4 linked regions of the Schizosaccharomyces pombe genome follow. Changing the gene in region 3 together with the main gene of any one other region gives a genetic interaction. Each region holds a gene or a part of one and is shown on either strand. Other genes may lie near its edges. The genes, in order: kap114, gcn20, caa1 and SPOM_SPAC644.09.

Region 1 (5,697 bases), 1.1 Mb from region 3:
GCATGCTTTTTACATATCCTTTGTTTTTAGTTTTCTTTTGACTATGGATTCCCTTGATTTTACGAAATAATCCCGTTCCTTTTTGTGACTTTTACCTTTCGGTAGCTTGCTGACCTGGTGTTTCTTGAATTTTTGCATAGATATACGGTGGCATATTTTAATGCCGATTTACCTAATTTTGTTCTTTTTCAGTCTTAATTATTTTCATATTGAAATGCTCATTTACTTGTGCCATATTAATCTCCAGATAAGACCTTATTTCATGCTCGTTTATCTGCACTTTGTTAATAATTACCATCATACTCTCTCCAATAAAATGGTAATTATTGGTATTATATAACCTTGTTTTTATGTTTATAATGAACTAAGTTTGTCTGTTTATTTTAATTTAAAAAATGTATCTTTTGAAAGAATTAATTTACCAACTTTATTCTTCATATACTTTAGTCCCTTTCAGCTTAAATAATCCTTTTGACCTTATACCTAGAGCCTTAAGTACTCTGAAAGGTATAATTTTACCCTACTTTCCTTTTAATGCACATGATATTAGTAAATGTTATAGTGCAAGTAAACTATTGGAAATCGTTCAGGTATTCTTGATTTTTTAAATCCTTTACACCTTTATTTTTCTTTAATTTGAACGAGCGCATCCTGTTCTTCCTGAGGTAGTCTAAAAACAACCTCGTTGATATTGTGCAGATTGCTTTTCATAGCTTCCTTAAAAAACTCTAGAAGATAAAACTAAAAATGTTAGCCCTAAAAACCAAAACTTTAACCCACCTGCAAATCAGTATTATCCTCATCTTCTGAATTGTCTACGCCAGAAAATTCATCTTTGGACAATTCGTTAACATCTATTGTTAGCCTTTTCTTTTAAAGGTCTCGCGTACCATTAGCTGATAGCCCAAACGTCTCTGCACTGATAGGACCGTCATCCCAATCATCCGCTCCATCATCGGAAACTTCTTCAACAATTGCATCTTTAGACAACGAAACAAATTCCTCTGAAAGTAGTCGCAATATTTTTTCTCCAACGCTTACATATGAATATTCCTCGGGATCTAGTTTTGGTTAATGAAAACTATCAAAAGCTTTTAACATACGAAGTTTAGACTGCGACCGGGTTATAATGCGATTAGAATGAGAGATAAGTTCACCTTTAACTTGAACTGAATCAAGTAGAGGACTGTCAAAAGAATAAATTTTAGTCATAGCAATACAACTTTCAGGTTAGAATTTATATAAGCATCAAATAATATAAGGACATACATTATAGAAATGTTTTTGAAGTTGCTAAAATAAACAAAGTTGTCACACCAAACGGTCATAAGTACTTCAAAAGCCGTTAGCCCTTGTTCATTTAATAAAGACGATGTCAAGAAGTGCATCATTCCCAAAGAGTCCTTAACAATTAATTTGGCAAAAACGTAAATTATACTCTAAATAAAAGTCAGAAACAGGTATTCAATAAGAACTTACTTGAATAAACCGTGGTTGTTCAGCTATTGCCAATCTCTTAATGCAAGAAAGAAGAATGGACTGAAGATCGACCATTTGACTTGCGTGATCAGCCAATTCAAGTAAGATAGGCCCAACTAAAAAGCAGGCGGAATCATCACTCTCTTTGTCAAGTAACTGATGCAAAATAAAAAGAATGTATTGAAAGCCACTACTACCTGAAATCTCCGTTTCCAATAATTGTGGTGTGTCCTTTTCCAAAAGCCCCTTAAGAATTTCCTGAGATAACTGAAGCAGTTCTGTGTCTCCAGAATGAATTTGAGTAATCTTATAAACAGGGGGCAAGACATATCCAACAAATCCATTAGGAAGTGGTGAAGGACCTGCACGAATCAAACAAGAAAGCAAGGTAGCCCCAATATTAACCATAATCGGGTCTTCTTGATTCAGGACCTGTAATAGTTCTGGCAAAGTAATTTCACACATACTTTCATAGTTATTTGCCGCATGGATAATGTCCTCAAAGGTGTCTTCAATAATTCCACAGATGTAAGGATCAGAAGCGTTCGTAGCAACCAAATTAAATAGAAGTGGAATAACAGAATTACCTAATTCAGCAGCCTTTGCACAATCAAGTTTTACCGCAGAAGAAATAGCTTCCACAAGTAATACAAGAGCTTCATCGCTTGACTTCGAAGCATACTGAGAAAGAACTTCCAAAATCATCGGCTGCAAAGAAAGTATCGGTTTGACTTTTCCGACTGAACAAAAGCGCTCAATAGCTTTCATAGCAGCATACTGTACAGTATCAACTTGTAAAGCATTAACCAAATTATTCATTATTATTTGGAAAAATTGAGAGGCTACTACGGTGCTTTCAGAGAAATATCCGATAAAGAGGAAAAACCTAGAAAGAAGTAAAATTGGAGCATCGGAGTAATCAATACGGACTTTGATAGCCTCGTATATGGGGTCCAAGTAATCATCATAAGTGTCATCTGAAGCAGCATCCACGGAACAACATGCATACAAGAGGGCTTCTTGATATATCCAATTGATTTCATTGTTTAATATGTAAGTCGCGGACATTTCTCGTAGACTTTGCTGGATTGGTAAAGTGGTATGCTCTTCAAATGCACTTAGTACGCTGATGGCGGCACCGCGAACCGTATCACTAGCAAAATCCATAGAAAATTCGTTTGCGATATATTCACTGACATCGCTTTCATATACTTCAATTTGATGCTTAGGTAGTTGCGTATATTGCACCAGAAGTGGAATGCAAGGAGGTAAAGGAGGTACGGGGACCGTATTACTGACAAACAAGTTTTGAACAAACTTGCTTTGCAAAGCTACAGAAACGAATAGCAGTAGTTCAACTAAATAACGAATAGGGTATTTATCACCAAATGCTGAATCATCTAAACCATCGCTAAAAACAACTTCTCGTATATATGGATCTAGTAACTTTTCTATAATATTCCAAACAAGTTCGACGAAGGTCACAACGTACGGTGTCAATTTAGAAGGAAACAATTCGCGAAGTTTTGTAAGAGTCATAGCAATTTCTCCCATGATACAAAAATAACCACAGGAATCAGGTAAAATAACTTGTCGATCATCAACGAGGGAAACTTCAAACTTGTGCGAGAACATATCCATCCAAGGGGGAAGTATTTGTTCAAGAAATACACGAACATGTTCAGCTTTCGTTTCTTTATAAATCTCAATAAGTTCTAGGCAAGAACGAAACAGTTTAATTCCTCTAGCTTGCAACATCCTCATGGAATCATTAGGGGGAGCGGAAAATATAAACTGATAGAGAATGGATGCAAGTTGAGGTGCAATAATAAAGAACTGTTCTTCAACAAGGGACTCATCTACAAGCTCGTCCAGAACATCCAGTGAAGCATTAATAGAGTTTTCATTAGTAGATTGTAAAAGATGCAGAACGGCCGGTACAACTTCTGGCCATTCATCGGGATAATCCACGTTTGCAATTAGAGAAACAGCATATGCCACAGCCTTGATTAAAGTGAAATTGTCAAGGCTCACTAAAAGATGTAATAGTGTTTCTCTGACATGTTTTTTGACATTTTCATCGGGTATCGGTCCATCTTGAAATTGCTCAAACAGTGGAGACCAATGGTGAACAATATATCTTTGTAAATAAATGAGAGAACCTTGTCTTAAAGGAACAGAAGCACCAGAAGATGCGATATCTGTTAACTTCGCAGCAAAATCTTCGTAAAAGATAGTTAGTAATTTTTTCGGTTAGTTTATAGCTTAAGTAGCATACCGTGATATTTCTCAAGGTCTCGTAACCCCAATTCGGCTTGTATTCTTGAATTAGGATCAGCAGATTGCACTTGTTCAAGCAGCTTAATGATTTTGCTTTCAACCATTTAGCGTGATAATAGACGTTAAACAATTGGTAGGTTTTGATGCTATCTGCTTAAAGAAAGTAGATAATAATAAATATATTTATGTACAGACGGGTATAGTTAACCCCTTAAAAATGGCTGTATTTAATAATTTTTTATGCAGGTATAATGCAGGTACTACTAAGAGTGAAATGTTACTAGGAAATTCATGTTCAAAGAAGTGGATGGTAAATAGGTGACATTGTCACTTAAATTGCTAATGTCTAACAAAATAGTGTTAATTGAAACAATAATTGCTTGTATTGTTGTTCATTTAAAAAAAAAATTAAAAAGAAAGGCCATGTAACTATTACTATTTTCATTCTTGATTTTCCTTATATTTTAATGTATTGCATAACTGAGTTTTTTAATGACCGACTGATCTTTGAATACAAGAATATACCTAATCAATTATCGCTTATTTTCAACCGAAATATTTATCTGATGGTCTGAAACGAGAGAAGCACTAAACCTTTTCAGCAGAAGAGACAGATATTCATATAGAATGTCTGAAAGAATTTTAACACGTTTTTCAAGCATTATGTAATTTTTGTTCTTTGGGTATACCATTAGAGGCTTTCTTAACTTAAAATCTCATTGGCGAACTACACAGTATTATGTATTAATCGTGTAGTTTCGATCACTGACAAGTCAGAAACCAACCTCCAAATTTCATAAAACTGACACATACAACATTTTAGTGGAATTTTTCTAATGCGTGCAAATAAAGAGAAGTAACGCGTAAGCTTTCCATATAAGAAGTGCTTAATCCTTTGTTTTTCGAAGCGTATCCGGTCAAAGCCGATTAGACTGATACAAACCTTGGGTGAAATTTTCCCTAGCCAAGCACTGTTTGTGTCTTCTTAAATTATATATATCCAATACAAAACGGTGCAAGACATTGTTTTTGTATTTTAATAAATCTCACTAGTTTCACGGAAATTCCTAAAGATGATTGACCTCGATAACATAATAGAGAGATTATATGAAAAACAATTGATTGCTGAGTCCGTTATTGCTTATCTTTGTTCTCTCGCAAAGGAAGTTTTAATGCAAGAAAGCAATGTTGTCAGGTTGTCTACTCCCATTACCGTGGTTGGTGATATTCATGGGTATGCATAGATTCAATATTGCAAAAAGTTCATTCTTTGTGGACATTCTGCTTACAAAGTATATAGCCAATTTGATGATCTACTTGAAATCTTTCGTATAGGAGGCCCATGCCCATACACAAACTATCTTTTTCTCGGTAAGTTAAAATGATGTTCATTAGAATCACATTAGCTGATTACTACAAATCATTAAAACTGAACATTGAGAACACAGCACATGCTTTATTATTCGTTGCTAACTATTTGAAGGTGATTATGTTGATCGGGGCTATTATAGTATAGAAACTATAACCCTTTTGATATGTCTCAAGTTACGGTATCCAAAGAGGATTACTCTTTTGCGCGGAAACCATGAGTCCAGAGGAATAACCCAAACCTATGGATTTTATTCAGAATGCTTAAGAAAATACGGTAATGCTAATGTTTGGAAATATTTTACCGATATCTTTGATTTCCTAACACTTTCTGCAACAATTGATGACACTATTTTTTGTGTTCATGGTGGACTTTCTCCTAGTATTCAGCACATAGATCAAATCCTTGTCTTAGACAGGTTTAGAGAATTCCCACACGAGGGACCTATGGCCGATCTCGTGTGGTCGGATCCGGATCCTAGCGTGCAAGAATTTTCACTTTCGCCCCGTGGTGCAGGTTTTTCTTTCGGTGAAGTTATTGTAACAAAATTTCTAGAATACAACAATATG
Region 2 (4,827 bases), on a different chromosome or scaffold from region 3:
ACTTCTACAAAGCGTCCTTTAACCTCTAATACCTATCCGTCCATTCCTCTTCCTCCAAAGTCTTTCACCTCTCAGAATTTTAAATCGTTCAACGCCGTCAAAACTCAACCTTCATCTTCCTCCTCTCCATCAATCTCTCGCCCTACGTCTTTTCCCATGTCCTTTTTTCCAAATCCTTCGAGGTTTTCTAGTCAAGTTCCTAAACGAATTTAATGAGTTAACTTTTTCCTTTCTCTTTCTTTTTTTGTTTACTAGTCTGTATATTCTTTTTTTTTCTGCTATTGATTTCCTTGGTCCGCCTTATTTTCTCCTCTTCTCCCCTTCCTCCTCTTTACTTTTTAATTGATTGGGTTTGTTCTCTTTATTTTTTGGGTGTTGGTTGATGATTTGCATGCTTTCCAGGTTTCTTGTCCATTACCGTGTTATGACTTACTTAGCTATAATTAATTTACTGTTTTAATCTTATTTAACACTTCATGTCTTTTACTGTATAAAATGTAGTTAACTTCGTTTACATATTTTATCCAGATTCATAGATAAAAGAATTTGATTTTATTTATCCTCGCCAGCTATATTATTATTATTTAAGTCTATGCTATTCCATTAAGTTTTTATAGTCATGGTTGGCTGTTGAGATAGACAGAATTTCTTATATTGTGAAATTGTTCCATCAAACTTGGAGACGACATTATGGTCACACTGCCAAATACTGGTACATGTCTTGTCCAAGAAATCAACATCGTGAGAAACAAGAATCACACCACCTTGGAAGCGTTTAACAGCTCTTGTCAAGGCATCCATGGACTCCATATCCAGATGGTTGGTGGGTTCATCTAGAATAAGAATGTGAGGGTTTTGTAGACCTAGGCATGCGAACGCAACACGAGATTTCTGACCACCAGAAAGCGTGATCATTTTTTGCAATGCAAGAGGTCCACTAACACCAAAAGCGCCAAGATGACGACGGTATTCTTCTTCACCTTTGCCAGGAAATGTCTTAGCTAAAAAGCTTAAGGCATTCAAGTTTAAGTCCAAAGTATCGACATGATGTTGTGCAAAGTATGCAATACGAAGTCGGGGGTGCCGACTAACTATACCAGATGTTGGATGAAGTTGTTCGATAAGAAGCTTAAGCATTGTTGATTTACCAGCACCGTTGGGACCAACCACACCGATACGAGAATCCATTTGAACATCAATATCAACATGTTTGAGAATAGGGTGACCTGGAACATACTCAAAATTGACATCAGACATTTGTAAGATAGGAGGAGATATTTTTTCCACAGGTGGAAATTCAAACTCAACTTCTTCCTCAGTTTGAGGCTTTTCAAGGATCGGCAGTTTTTCCAACTTCTTAATACGACTTTGTGCTTCGGATGATTTGGCAGCATTATAACGAAATTTGTCAATGAATGATTGCAAATGTTTGCGGTATTCCATTTGCTTTTCATATTCACGAAGTTGATTTTTGCAACGTTCTTCACGAGTAGCATAGAATTGACTAAAATTACCCTTATAGTAATCCAAGCGCTCAGAGTGTTGATGAATAATATCAGTAGCAACTTCATTCAAGAAAGAACGATCGTGTGAAACGACTAAAACGATATTTTTATAAGTTTGTAAATATTCAGATAAGAAAGCAATTGAGGGAACGTCAAGCATGTTCGAAGGTTCATCCAAAAGTAGTAAATCTGGTTGACAAAACAGAGCACGTGCCAATGACAAACGCATACGCCAACCACCTGAAAAAGTCTTGGTAGCATGGCTTTGCATTTCTTGAGTAAATCCAAGACCAGCTAAAATAGTAGCAGCGCGTGATTCTGCTCTATCAGAGTCCATCTCGGAAAGCTTATTTTGAATATCTAACAACCGTAAATCAAGTTCGTCTCGTTCACGCTCAAGGCGACGGGAAATAGCTTGATCAGCAGTTTGGTCTTTACTAAGTTCTTCCAATTCTTTTTCAATCGTTGATAGACGATTAGTTATCTTTTCCTGGTCCTGAATCAAATACTTGCGCCAAACATCGGCATCCAAAACTGACTGTAGGGCAGGTGTATCATCACCTGTCATTTCTTGCTCAACATGAAGAATGGTAATATGGGTAGGAATCGCAATTTCACGGCGAGAAAGAGCACGTAGAAGAGTAGATTTACCGATACCGTTGCGACCAGTTAAACCGTATCGTCTACCCTGTGCAAGTGTCAACGAAGCACCAGTCAATATACGATGACCAGCAAAAGCAAGATCAATTCCATCAATTTTAATATCTTTCGATTTTCCTTGGTTACTTCCGGATAAATCTAGAGGATTTACAGCCATGTAAAACTCTTCATAAGACTTTTGTTCGGGTTGAACCAACTTTGAAGATTCGTATTCTGCTTTGATAGTACGTTTCTCCCATTTGGCACGAATCTTCCGTTCAGCCTTCTCTAATTTTCTTCTATCTACCCTAGATTCAACCTTACGGCCCTTTACAGCATCTAATTCCATCTTTTCGCCAACCAAACCCATAGTTGACGAAATTTCGGATTGGGAATCCATTCGAATAGTCTCCTTCAAACGAACAAGTCCATTCGTTTGTAATGTATCTAGATGTTCCTCTCTTTCTTTAAATTGTTTCTCTAGTTCGTTTTGTATGAGCTGTACCGCTTCCTCACGAGCGCCAGCATCTAGCAATAAATTACGAATGAGAGAGATCGTATGGTCTGAAGCCTCATCTACATCTTTAATAGCATCATTAGCATATCCAGTGCAGTAGCTGAGGACATGAGGGTCTACTTCAGAGCAATTATTCTGAATGACTTGCTCCATGTTGGATGTGAGGTGGATAGTACTAAGCAAGTTATACTACTGCTATATATGAAGCCTCAATCGGCAAAACGATGAGACTAGGCATGAAAATATACTAAATACCTTATAATAGTGAATTATATATTTTTTTAAGAAAAAAAATTACAATTCCAAGAAAACTACTGTGAACTTTACTGATATTTTTAATGACCCACAGTAGACATCAAATTTTATCAAGCTAATCCTTATTGTTGAATAAAAGCAATTGTATTGAGTTGATATAAATTGAAAAAAAAAATCCAAATGTGAACTCAATAGAAATACTTTGCAAAGAGAAAAACATCTCAACTCAATGAAAGTGGTTTTCTATCAATCAAGGCAACAACTGTTTCGTGCCGTAATCGAAGAGACGACTAAGCATTGAATTCAGCTATGTTCAAAGACATTTAGAAAGCAGAAAAAGGATACGTTAACCTAGAATATAAATCATAGTGAGACGGGAGTTATAGAGATACATCCACGTTCGTGGTCAATCAAAAGAAGGATCAGACAAAGGCATGAAATAGATATAAAATCAAATCTCAACGACGTAGATGAAAATGTAAATTCATAATCGGAAAATAAAAGGCAAAATTTAATCAAAGTTAATTACCAAACATCTTCCAATTGAGCATAGGAAAAGCAGTGAATAAATTTAATGTTCTTTTTCATTCTCATACTGAAGGAAAAGTTAGCTGATGCAATGTAAAGGAAGAGATACATACTGATTCAAGAAAGTCAAATTTGTTGCTTTCTCCAGCAGCCTTAGTGGGAATGGTTTCTCCCTCATACTTGTAAGAGTTTAAAGCAGAAGTAAAGTCAACATCGTATTTTGGAGCAGTAGGAGCGCTAGGCATGGACCATTCCTTTACTTCAGCTGCCGTTTCGGAAGGGACAGCTTTAGGCTTATATGATTCTAAGACACGACGTGTAAGAAATTGGTAAATTAAGAGAATATAATAACATACTTAAAGAAGAAATATATAAACCCTGTACTACATCGACTAAATTGCCATTAGTAATCTCATCAAAATCAAAATGTCATTTCATACCGTAAAGACGAGGGGAGGTGGTCGAATAACTACGACTTAGTGATTTCTATATATTAGCTCCTAAATTCTTAAAAAAAGCAATGTATAACGTACCAAAATTCGAGACATTGTTCTTCCTTCACAATATATGTGGATGGTAGTGGTAACTCACTTAGGTAGCATGTATTGAGTAAGAAAGCCAGCATTGTCCGAAAGTACATTAAACATACTAAATCTAATAGCTAAAGTTTTAAATGCCCAAATAAACAATCGCTGAAATAGAAGGACTATTAGTCTCAAAAATTTCATCCAATTTACACCTCTACCAAAAATCTACAAAACAAAATTCAACTATACAAGAAAAAAAAGCGTAGGTACATACAGATATTGAAAGAGTTGGATTAACCAAAACAGGACGTAAAAAGCAAAACAAAACAAAAAAAAACAGGGAAAAGAGGAAAAGAAAATATACTTTCAGATTGAAACGGTTAACTCGTGAAATGTATAACAAGTTCAGTGGAATTACTGTCAAACTAACAGCAGCACATGATATGAAAAGTGATGAGAGGGGAGTTTTTGAAGGTAAAAATGCTTTTAATAAAAAATAAATAGCATCAAAAAAATTGTAAAAGTATTCCATGGGACTTTAAATATATACGACAAAACCAGTTCTAAAATGTGATTAAACTTCAACCGCAAGTCGAATGCAAGTTAAAATATGTATAGAAATGCATTCCGACGGGTTATCGACTCAATGGACAACAAAGACTTCGTAAAACTAGAATAAAACTATTTGCTTAATACTTTAGTTTCCCGAAATAATTCAAAAAGCGTAAAATTGCAAGAATTTATAAGAGCGCTTCGCATCAATGAAATACCTATACCTCGATATATAGTAAACGATAACCAAGGAATGGAAGACAAAGGGGTTTTAATTGATAAGAGTGTATTTCTTTGTACAATG
Region 3 (3,781 bases):
AATTCAGGTATGTGAATTCAACTTTCTTTATTAAATTTATCGAGAAGAATTATTGAGTCAAAATGTCCTAACAAACTAACTCATACACATTTAGAGATGTTATAATTATTAATTATTGGAGGAAAGACACGAGAAGAAATAAAATTTATGCAAAGAGGGATATTCCTTGCTTTAGCCTGGTTTTCGAGTTATTAGGATATTTTCAAAATTTCCTGCTTAAAATTATAGTTGACACAATAGGGAAGTAAAACAAAGAAAATCATACTCATATTGTATTACTTAAGTTTTGACTTCTTTTCTTTGTATTGGCTCTAATAGTTGCTAAAAGTTGTATTATATTAATGTAGTAAACCTCGATATAACAAAGAATTCAAATACTCTGTCATTAATCAATTTGCAAGTTATGAATTATTAAAAAAGAACTCTTTCTCAGTTTTGTCTAAACATATCCGATTACAAACTGATATCAACTTGTTTTGCAAATAATGAGCCAAATACTGATGTCTAACTCACAAAGGAGAAGTCCCGGTGTATGAGTTGAACAGATAACTTCATATTATTCAAAAATTCAAAGAATAAATGCATATACTAGTTCTCTAAATTGCTAAAGAATTTGTTCCTAAATTCGTCAAATTTACAACAATCCAAAATTCTGTATTCATGAATCCAATACTTATCTATGTGACTTTGGTATTAATAATCAGTTTAAGGCAACTCGCGAACAGCATGGTTAAATGCCTGTGCAACATGCTCTACATTAGAATTGTTCAAACCAGCCATAGAAATACGACCATTTGCACTGAAATAAAGATGGTACCGCTCCTGGCAAAATTGGACTTGTGCAGGCGTTAAACCGGTAAAAGAAAACATTCCAATTTGTTGTGTAATATGATCCCAAGAACCGGGGGTTTTGAGTGCAACAAGAGAATCGCGAAGACGTTTCCTCATCTCAATGATTCTAGAAGACATAGTCTTTAAATCTTGTTCCCATTCAGCAAACAATTGAGGACTGTTAAGAATTTCGGCAGCAATACGTGCACCGTAAGCGGGAGGGTTAGAAATGGTGTTACGTTGAACAATACACAATTGAGATAAGACCTTGTTTTTAGTGGAAGCGTCCTTTGCAACGTAATGCATGCAACCAGTACGTTCACCATAAAGACCCATATTTTTAGCAAATGACTGACAAACGAAAAAGTCCTTGTTATATTTGACAAACTCGTTTAGAGCCCAAGAGTCACGATTCAGATCACCACTGGCAAAACCTTGATAAGCAATGTCAAAAACTACCAGATGCTTGCGAGAAAGCAGACTCTCGAATATAGAAAGCCATTGTTCCCTAGTGGGGTCAATACCAGTAGGATTGTGAGCACAAGCATGAAGTAAAAATATACTTCCTTCGGGAGCAGATTTAATGGTACTTAGCATGCCTTCGTAATCAAAAGATCTATTCTTGGCATCCCAATAAGGATATGTATCTACAGTGACTCCCAATTTTTCCCACAAAGTGCGATGGACAGGCCAAGTAGGGTTGGAGATGTATACATGGGCTCCAGTGTGCTTTACATAGAAAGTCTCAATGAAACTAGCAGCAAGAAAATTGGCACCAGTACCAGAGACTGACTGCATAGATGCAACACGGTCCTCGGACAATAAATGAGGATTGGGTCTGAAAAGAACTTCAGCCGCAGCCTTAGTGAAACGAGGCAATCCAGCAATTGGTAAATATTCATGGTTGAAGCTTGCCTGTTCTTCCACTATTTTAGATGCTTTTTTAACTGCAGGCAAAATCCAAGGCTTACCAGTATCGTCACGATAGGCGCCAACACTCATGTTAACCTTCTTGGGATCTTCATCCTGATGGTATTGAGCATTTAATTTAAAAATTGCATCTGCCTTAGCTTCCTCAATATTTGCAAACCCGTAGTCTGACATTGTGGTTAAATATGCGGTAGGTAGATTTCAACCTTACTGATCTACTATATATATATATTTATCACTCGGTTTAGTATCACTATATTATCAGTATACTTCATTGACATATAAGATACCGAGCTTGATGTACTGTAATAGTGAATAACGATACAAAGTTTGACTCGTATAGGGAGGAGCTTAACTTTTACAAGGAGGAGCTCTGAAGTGTCTTATCGAGAAAAGTAGGCAATATGTGAAGTTATATTATTATGGTCAAAGATTGGCTTTCCATAAAGAAAAGTAATCTTTACTATAAATATCATTTTTTATCATTAGTAAGTTCAGGCAACCGAAAATTTCCAGGGTAAAATAAATGTTGAAAGACCCAAAAAATAGGCGACAACAGCCGTTGATACCAAGTTGGACTAGGTTTGTCGGTAGTGTATTTATCAGCAACCTTGGCCATAACAGCTATACTATTCACTGGATACCCAAAATTTTGGTTATTTTTTTGAATAAGCATTAAGCAGCGACCTAGCATTAACAGCTCTTTCGGTAAACGAGTGCAGTCCTGTAAGAAGCCAATGAACTTTTTGCGTTCAGCAAGCTGCTGTTGGAAGGCCTCTTTCTTTGAAATAATTTTTTCACCAGTGTGAGGTTGCTCTTCATCCATTGGAATATTTAACATGCGGTTAGCAAAAAGCTCAGGTTGTCCAATCCCCCAAGCATCCATTACCTGAAGAATAGATTTTTTGTCTAATGAATAGGCTGCAGTGAAAAGCAAGGCAAATTCTTTTCTAAACTTTTCTGATTCAAATACATATAACCCATGATCCAAAATTACCGTTTGACACAAGCCTGCTTGATTTTTTCGAACAAGGATATTTCCAGGATGTGGATCACAATGAACTTGTTTCGAATGAAACATTTGGAAGGCAAGGAATCTGAAAAGGTTCGTTAAAATTTCCTTTTTGCTCATCCCAGCTTCAGAAAGAGCAGTTTGATCATAGAGGGGAATGCCATCAGCCCATTCAGTAACCATTACTCGCTTTCCAGAAATCTCTTTATAAACCTTTGGTATATATATCTTATCTCTTAAATAATCAGTTTCTTCTACCCCTTCACGAGCATGTTCCGAATTGTTAGCTTCAGTTGTAAAATCAACCTCAGAACGTAATCTTTCCGAGACATAATCAACCGTAAAGTAGAGAGGGATATGAAATATCCATTTATCATAAACATACATCATGTATTTGTACACGAGAAGATCCCACGACATTTGCTTAGCAACATCTGGTTTTTGAATTTTTACCGCGACCTTTTCACCGCTAGGTAAAACAGCACGATGTACCTGCGCAATACTGGCACTTGCAGCAGCACGTTTCTCAATGCTGGCAAATACTTCCTCTACTGGTCTTCCATATTGCTCTTTGAATATGTCTTGAAGTTCTTCCCATTCAACTTGAGGTGCATTGTCAAACATTCCCTGAAAGGCTTTCCCATACGCTTCAGGCAAATTATTTGATTGCATAGCAATGATTTGACCCATCTTGATGTATAAACCGCCATTTTTGTAAATCGTTTTAAACAGTCTCTGTGCTACTCTTTGGTGCAAAGCATCAATTTTGTCTGCCTTTTTTTCGCTGAAATTCAACTTATAGTCAGCCGCAATTATAGAAGCGGTGTATACTGTTCTAATACTACGGGTAAGTGCATGGGCATTATACACTCGATCCCAAGCGTAGACACCTATTCCAGCAGCACCAACAAATACGAACCTCTTCATCCATTTACGTTTGTTACCAGGAACTCCATGATTTTGCAATGCTTGACTGTTATAACGTACATCAGCATATGTCTTTGATCG
Region 4 (4,035 bases), 1.5 Mb from region 3:
TAAGTGATATAGTGTGTCCAAAAAATACAAGTATGGCTTCATTGCAGGGTCTTTTTGTAATGAATAAGAGCTCACCTGCTGATGCTGTTGATATGGCTAAAGAGCTTCCTGATAATCCTCCTAGTACACCTTTCTCCTTTAACGTACACAGAAAGTCTTTGTCTGTATGAAATCCCTTAGATTTATTTAACTTAAAATGTTATTCGTTTCGTAATAAGCTCTACTTATCAATCTTGACCACAAAAAAAAGACATCTTGGTAGAAACATATATTGTACGCGATTAATCTATGAATAATTAATGAATTTAAAAAATGGTTAAAAAATAACTAGTCCGTATTTTCTATTCTAAAAGACAGGCATGCATAAGATAATTATTCAAATGCATGTTCTCAATAAAAAGCTGCAAGCTGTTGAAATTCTTTTTCCATATGTTTAAGAAAGTAAAATCCAATAAAATTCCAATTGTAATCTTAAATTATTTTACGTGATGCATAGCTGAATTCGCAAAGTACTAATCCTACTTACTGCACATCTTACTTCTTTAAAGTTGCATAAAACTTGTGTCCTAAAAGAAAAGTGAGTTGTACGGCATCTCTTTATTACAAAAAATGGTTAAAAATTTGCTCTTGGATATTGAAGGGACTGTGGGTAGCATTTCATTTGTCAAAGACAAATTGGTAAGTGAAGTTTTTTATTGAGAACAATGTAGATCGTGTTTAACCCATGCTAGTTTCCATACGCTGCTTCAAGATACGAAAGTTATGTTAATGAAAATTATGAAAGTGATGAAAACTTGCGAGAACTTGGAAAAACGCCTGAAGAGGCCTTGATAAATTTACGAAAGTTGCATGCTGAAGGAAGCAAAGAACGTTCCTTCAAAATGGTCCAAGGTCGTATTTGGAAAAAAGGTTATGAAAGTAATGAACTAACTTCACACTTGTTCCCCGATGTTGTTCCTGCTATTCAACGTAGTTTGCAATTGGGAATGCGTGTTTACATTTACTCCAGTGGGAGTGTTCCAGCTCAGAAATTGTATTTCGAGCATTCAGATGCTGGAAACCTTCTAAAGTATTTCTCTGGATATTACGATACTACTATAGGGCTTAAAACTGAGTGTGGCAGTTATGTGAAAATTGTGGGAAACTCAAATCCTAGAGAATGGCTCTTCTTGAGTGACAATATCAACGAGTTGAAAGCTGCAAGAAAAGTCGGGTTGCACACCGGTTTGGTGGTTCGTCCTGGCAATGATCCTGTTGTAGACACCAGTGGATTCCCCGTGTACAATAGTTTTGAAATTTTGTTCACGGAATAAAGCAATGGTGAACCCTAACGACCGTTTCGCTTAGAACAAAGTAATGAGTTTCTTTAAAGGACATGAGTTCTTTAAAAGAATTTTGATTCTCTTGTGCTCTCATTTTCTATTTCTTTGTGTTTTTTTTTTCATGATTTCTTTGAATACATCCGAAAATTAGTCAACGCAATTTCTTCTCTTAAAATATATTGAATTATTATAATTTTTTTAACCCAATGGATTTTTGAATTGTTTCAGAAACCTTTTTTAACTATGAAACTTTTTTACCATGATTGAATATTTGTATCAATTATCTAAACATTGAGTAAAACACTCTTGTAAACTCTCCATTCGTTCAATCAACTATTTGAACTGAATTTTTTTTTTTTTTTTGATAAAATAGAAAAAGAGCGTTCTTGTTTAATATTTTCCTCTCCTGTGTACTCATTGTAAAGAAGAGAGGTTTGTCAATCAACATGGGTTACAATTCGTCGGTTTTGTAGCCAAATTAACATTAATCCTTTATTAGTGATTTCTTTTTAAATGTTTCTTAGCCATTAATGTTTATTTATTTACTTGTTTCTGTGACATATAATATCATTACCCCCATTTGGTACCTCTTCCTCCCACTTTGATCAGCAATTACTCTCTGTAAGCTTCTCCAGGTTAATAAAGTCAAGAAGAGACTATAGCTATACCCCCATATAGTACTCTTTATCCCACATTTTGTATCACTCAAAATCAATTTCAACTAAGAGACCTAAGCAGAGTAATTTAACTGTCAGGTGGATTTGACTAAGAAAGTAGTAATAGCTTTCATTCAACATGAGTACTATCCATAGCTGTTTAGATTTAATTAGAAGTCAAATCCAGCAATCTGCAAATGGCCGCAATGTAAGTTTGTATGAGTGATTTTGGTTGTTTTTTCGGGTACTTGGTAAAATTGAATTTCGGATGTCTGATCTCCAGGCGAATAAAGTCATACTGCTCAGCTAATAAGCTTCGTGAAAGATTTATTTAACTCGACGATATAATACTTTATTTTTAGGCTTATAATATTTAAGGAAATGATGCTTCGCCGAGAATAAAATGTTGCAAAGATATCTTCGATTAAAATGGGTTTATCTGAAATAGCGTTGTTTATGTCAGCTGAGGTGAAGGAAAAGATCTAAAAAAATGAATATTTTCACTTTTACATTTTTGGGATTCCCTAAAAATCTTCCAATTTCGCCTGCTGCTTTATCCATCACTAACAATTGCCTTAATGGCTTTTAGGTTCTTCTTGTAGCTGTTAGCAAGTTTCATCCTGTTGAAACCTTGATGGAAGCGTACAATGCTGGTCAAAGGCACTTTGGCGAGAATTACATGCAAGAATTTCTAAAGAAAGTAGAGTTGGTAAGTGCTAGAATGTATTATGTGTTTTCGGTAATCTATTTTTTGATGCCTACCATCTTTAAAAACACTTTTTTAAGTTAGATAATAAGTGGTTCTCATTGTTTATTTCCATTCACAAGGCTAACAGTGCCATAGATGCCCGACGACGTCCAATGGCATTTTATCGGTAGTTTACAGTCATCTAAGTGCAAGAAAATTGCATCTGTAAAAAACTTGTACAGTATTGAAACCATTGATACTGAAAAGAAGGCTCGTTTGGTAAACAGCGCTCGTGAGGCATTACAACTACCCTTAAATGTCTATATTCAAGTAAATACCAGTGGTGAGGAGAACAAGGGAGGAGTTACTCCGTCTAAAGTTCTTGAACTCTGTAAGCAAGTTCAAGACATGAAATATTTGCGACTCAAAGGCCTCATGACTATTGGCTCTATTTCCAATTCTCAATTATCTGATCACAACCCAGATTTCCAGGTAAGATTATTTCCTTTTTCTTCCTTTTTATTCATCTTTGCTCTTCCTAACGCAGTACAGGTTCTTTCAGATCTTCGTGAGTCTTTGCAAAATGAGCTCGGTATCCCTTTACAATTGTCTATGGGAATGAGTTCTGATTATCTCCTTGCTATAAAATATGGAAGCGACTCTGTTCGTGTTGGCAGTTCCATATTTGGTTCTCGTCCGACAGAAAAGCCATCAGATGTTCACATATCTGCATCGAAATGAGTTCGGATGTAGAGTTATAGATAAAAAATGCAATTTTGGCTATCCTTTTTCATTTAAAATATATTATTTTATTTTTTGCTTCTTTAATGATGATGTTACTAGATATTTGAAAATAAATACATTTTTCTAAATTTTTTAAAGTCTCGGTTTGCAATTCTATAAATTTTTAGCAAATTTAGAGATAATATTATAATTAAGGAAAAAATTGTACCAATATATATGACCAATTAATCCTAATACGTTCATTTACAACATGGCTAAGATTCGAGTGCAAGCACTTACTTCACAGCACTACACTTTTCTCTAATATCTTTTCATTTATTTTGGCTATTGGAAATTGTGGACGCAGGCGCAATCGTTCCATTAATAAATCAAACTAATTATTAAAGAATAGACGGGAATGTACGATTGAGAGTGAATACTGGATATTTAATAAATCTCTCAATAACATAAATTATCAAAATTTGAACGATGACTAATAGTGACGACGATCTTTTTAGTGAAAAATCAACATCTTCTGATACTCAGCAAGTACAAAATATCCTCGAACTTGAAGCAAAGATCCCCGACATTTTATCTTCAGCTGGAAAATGCATTGAAGCCATTCAACTAAATAATTCTCTTGAGG

Evidence for each region.
Region 1: mutations in caa1 (region 3) and kap114 together harm fitness more than expected from each alone (negative genetic interaction), as found in Schizosaccharomyces pombe (one large-scale study listed by BioGRID).
Region 2: mutations in caa1 (region 3) and gcn20 together harm fitness more than expected from each alone (negative genetic interaction), as found in Schizosaccharomyces pombe (one large-scale study listed by BioGRID).
Region 4: mutations in caa1 (region 3) and SPOM_SPAC644.09 together harm fitness more than expected from each alone (negative genetic interaction), as found in Schizosaccharomyces pombe (one large-scale study listed by BioGRID).

Annotation. Positions count from the first base shown.
Region 1 is NC_003424.3:2,372,523-2,378,219, forward strand, and holds kap114 (karyopherin/importin beta family nuclear import signal receptor Kap14), read right to left. Parts: upstream 4,031-5,697; 5' UTR 3,864-4,030; coding exon 3,758-3,863; intron 3,702-3,757; coding exon 1,480-3,701; intron 1,440-1,479; coding exon 1,270-1,439; intron 1,249-1,269; exon of another isoform or gene 1,223-1,248; coding exon 1,104-1,222; exon of another isoform or gene 1,062-1,103; coding exon 891-1,061; exon of another isoform or gene 855-890; coding exon 781-854; exon of another isoform or gene 742-780; coding exon 622-741; 3' UTR 530-621; downstream 1-529. Other genes in the region: ppa3 (protein phosphatase type 2A), read left to right, coding at 4,833-4,993, 5,060-5,130, 5,243-5,697. UniProt on the Schizosaccharomyces pombe protein: Required for nuclear protein import and mediates docking of import substrate to distinct nucleoporins. Serves a receptor for nuclear localization signals. Mediates the nuclear import of TATA-binding protein (TBP) and of histones H2A and H2B.
Region 2 is NC_003423.3:2,053,611-2,058,437, forward strand, and holds gcn20 (AAA family ATPase Gcn20), read right to left. Parts: upstream 2,833-4,827; 5' UTR 2,815-2,832; coding exon 604-2,814; 3' UTR 531-603; downstream 1-530. Other genes in the region: atp14 (F1-ATPase subunit H), read right to left, coding at 3,488-3,511, 3,558-3,748, 3,801-3,836, 3,885-3,930, 3,978-3,992; ort1 (carboxylic acid transporter), read right to left, coding at 4,653-4,827.
Region 3 is NC_003424.3:1,230,083-1,233,863, forward strand, and holds caa1 (aspartate aminotransferase), read right to left. Parts: upstream 1,958-3,781; 5' UTR 1,936-1,957; coding exon 706-1,935; 3' UTR 558-705; downstream 1-557. Other genes in the region: SPOM_SPAC10F6.14C (ABC1 kinase family protein), read right to left, coding at 2,234-3,781. UniProt on the Schizosaccharomyces pombe protein: Plays a key role in amino acid metabolism.
Region 4 is NC_003424.3:2,687,586-2,691,620, forward strand, and holds SPOM_SPAC644.09 (pyridoxal phosphate homeostasis protein), read left to right. Parts: upstream 1-2,058; 5' UTR 2,059-2,117; coding exon 2,118-2,186; exon of another isoform or gene 2,187-2,466; intron 2,467-2,567; coding exon 2,568-2,687; exon of another isoform or gene 2,688-2,822; coding exon 2,823-3,158; exon of another isoform or gene 3,159-3,218; coding exon 3,219-3,407; 3' UTR 3,408-3,535; downstream 3,536-4,035. Other genes in the region: bcs1 (iron-sulfur protein assembly ATPase), read left to right, coding at 1-170; utr4 (methionine salvage haloacid dehalogenase-like hydrolase), read left to right, coding at 610-678, 732-1,313; mediator complex subunit Med11, read left to right, coding at 3,879-4,035. UniProt on the Schizosaccharomyces pombe protein: Pyridoxal 5'-phosphate (PLP)-binding protein, which may be involved in intracellular homeostatic regulation of pyridoxal 5'-phosphate (PLP), the active form of vitamin B6.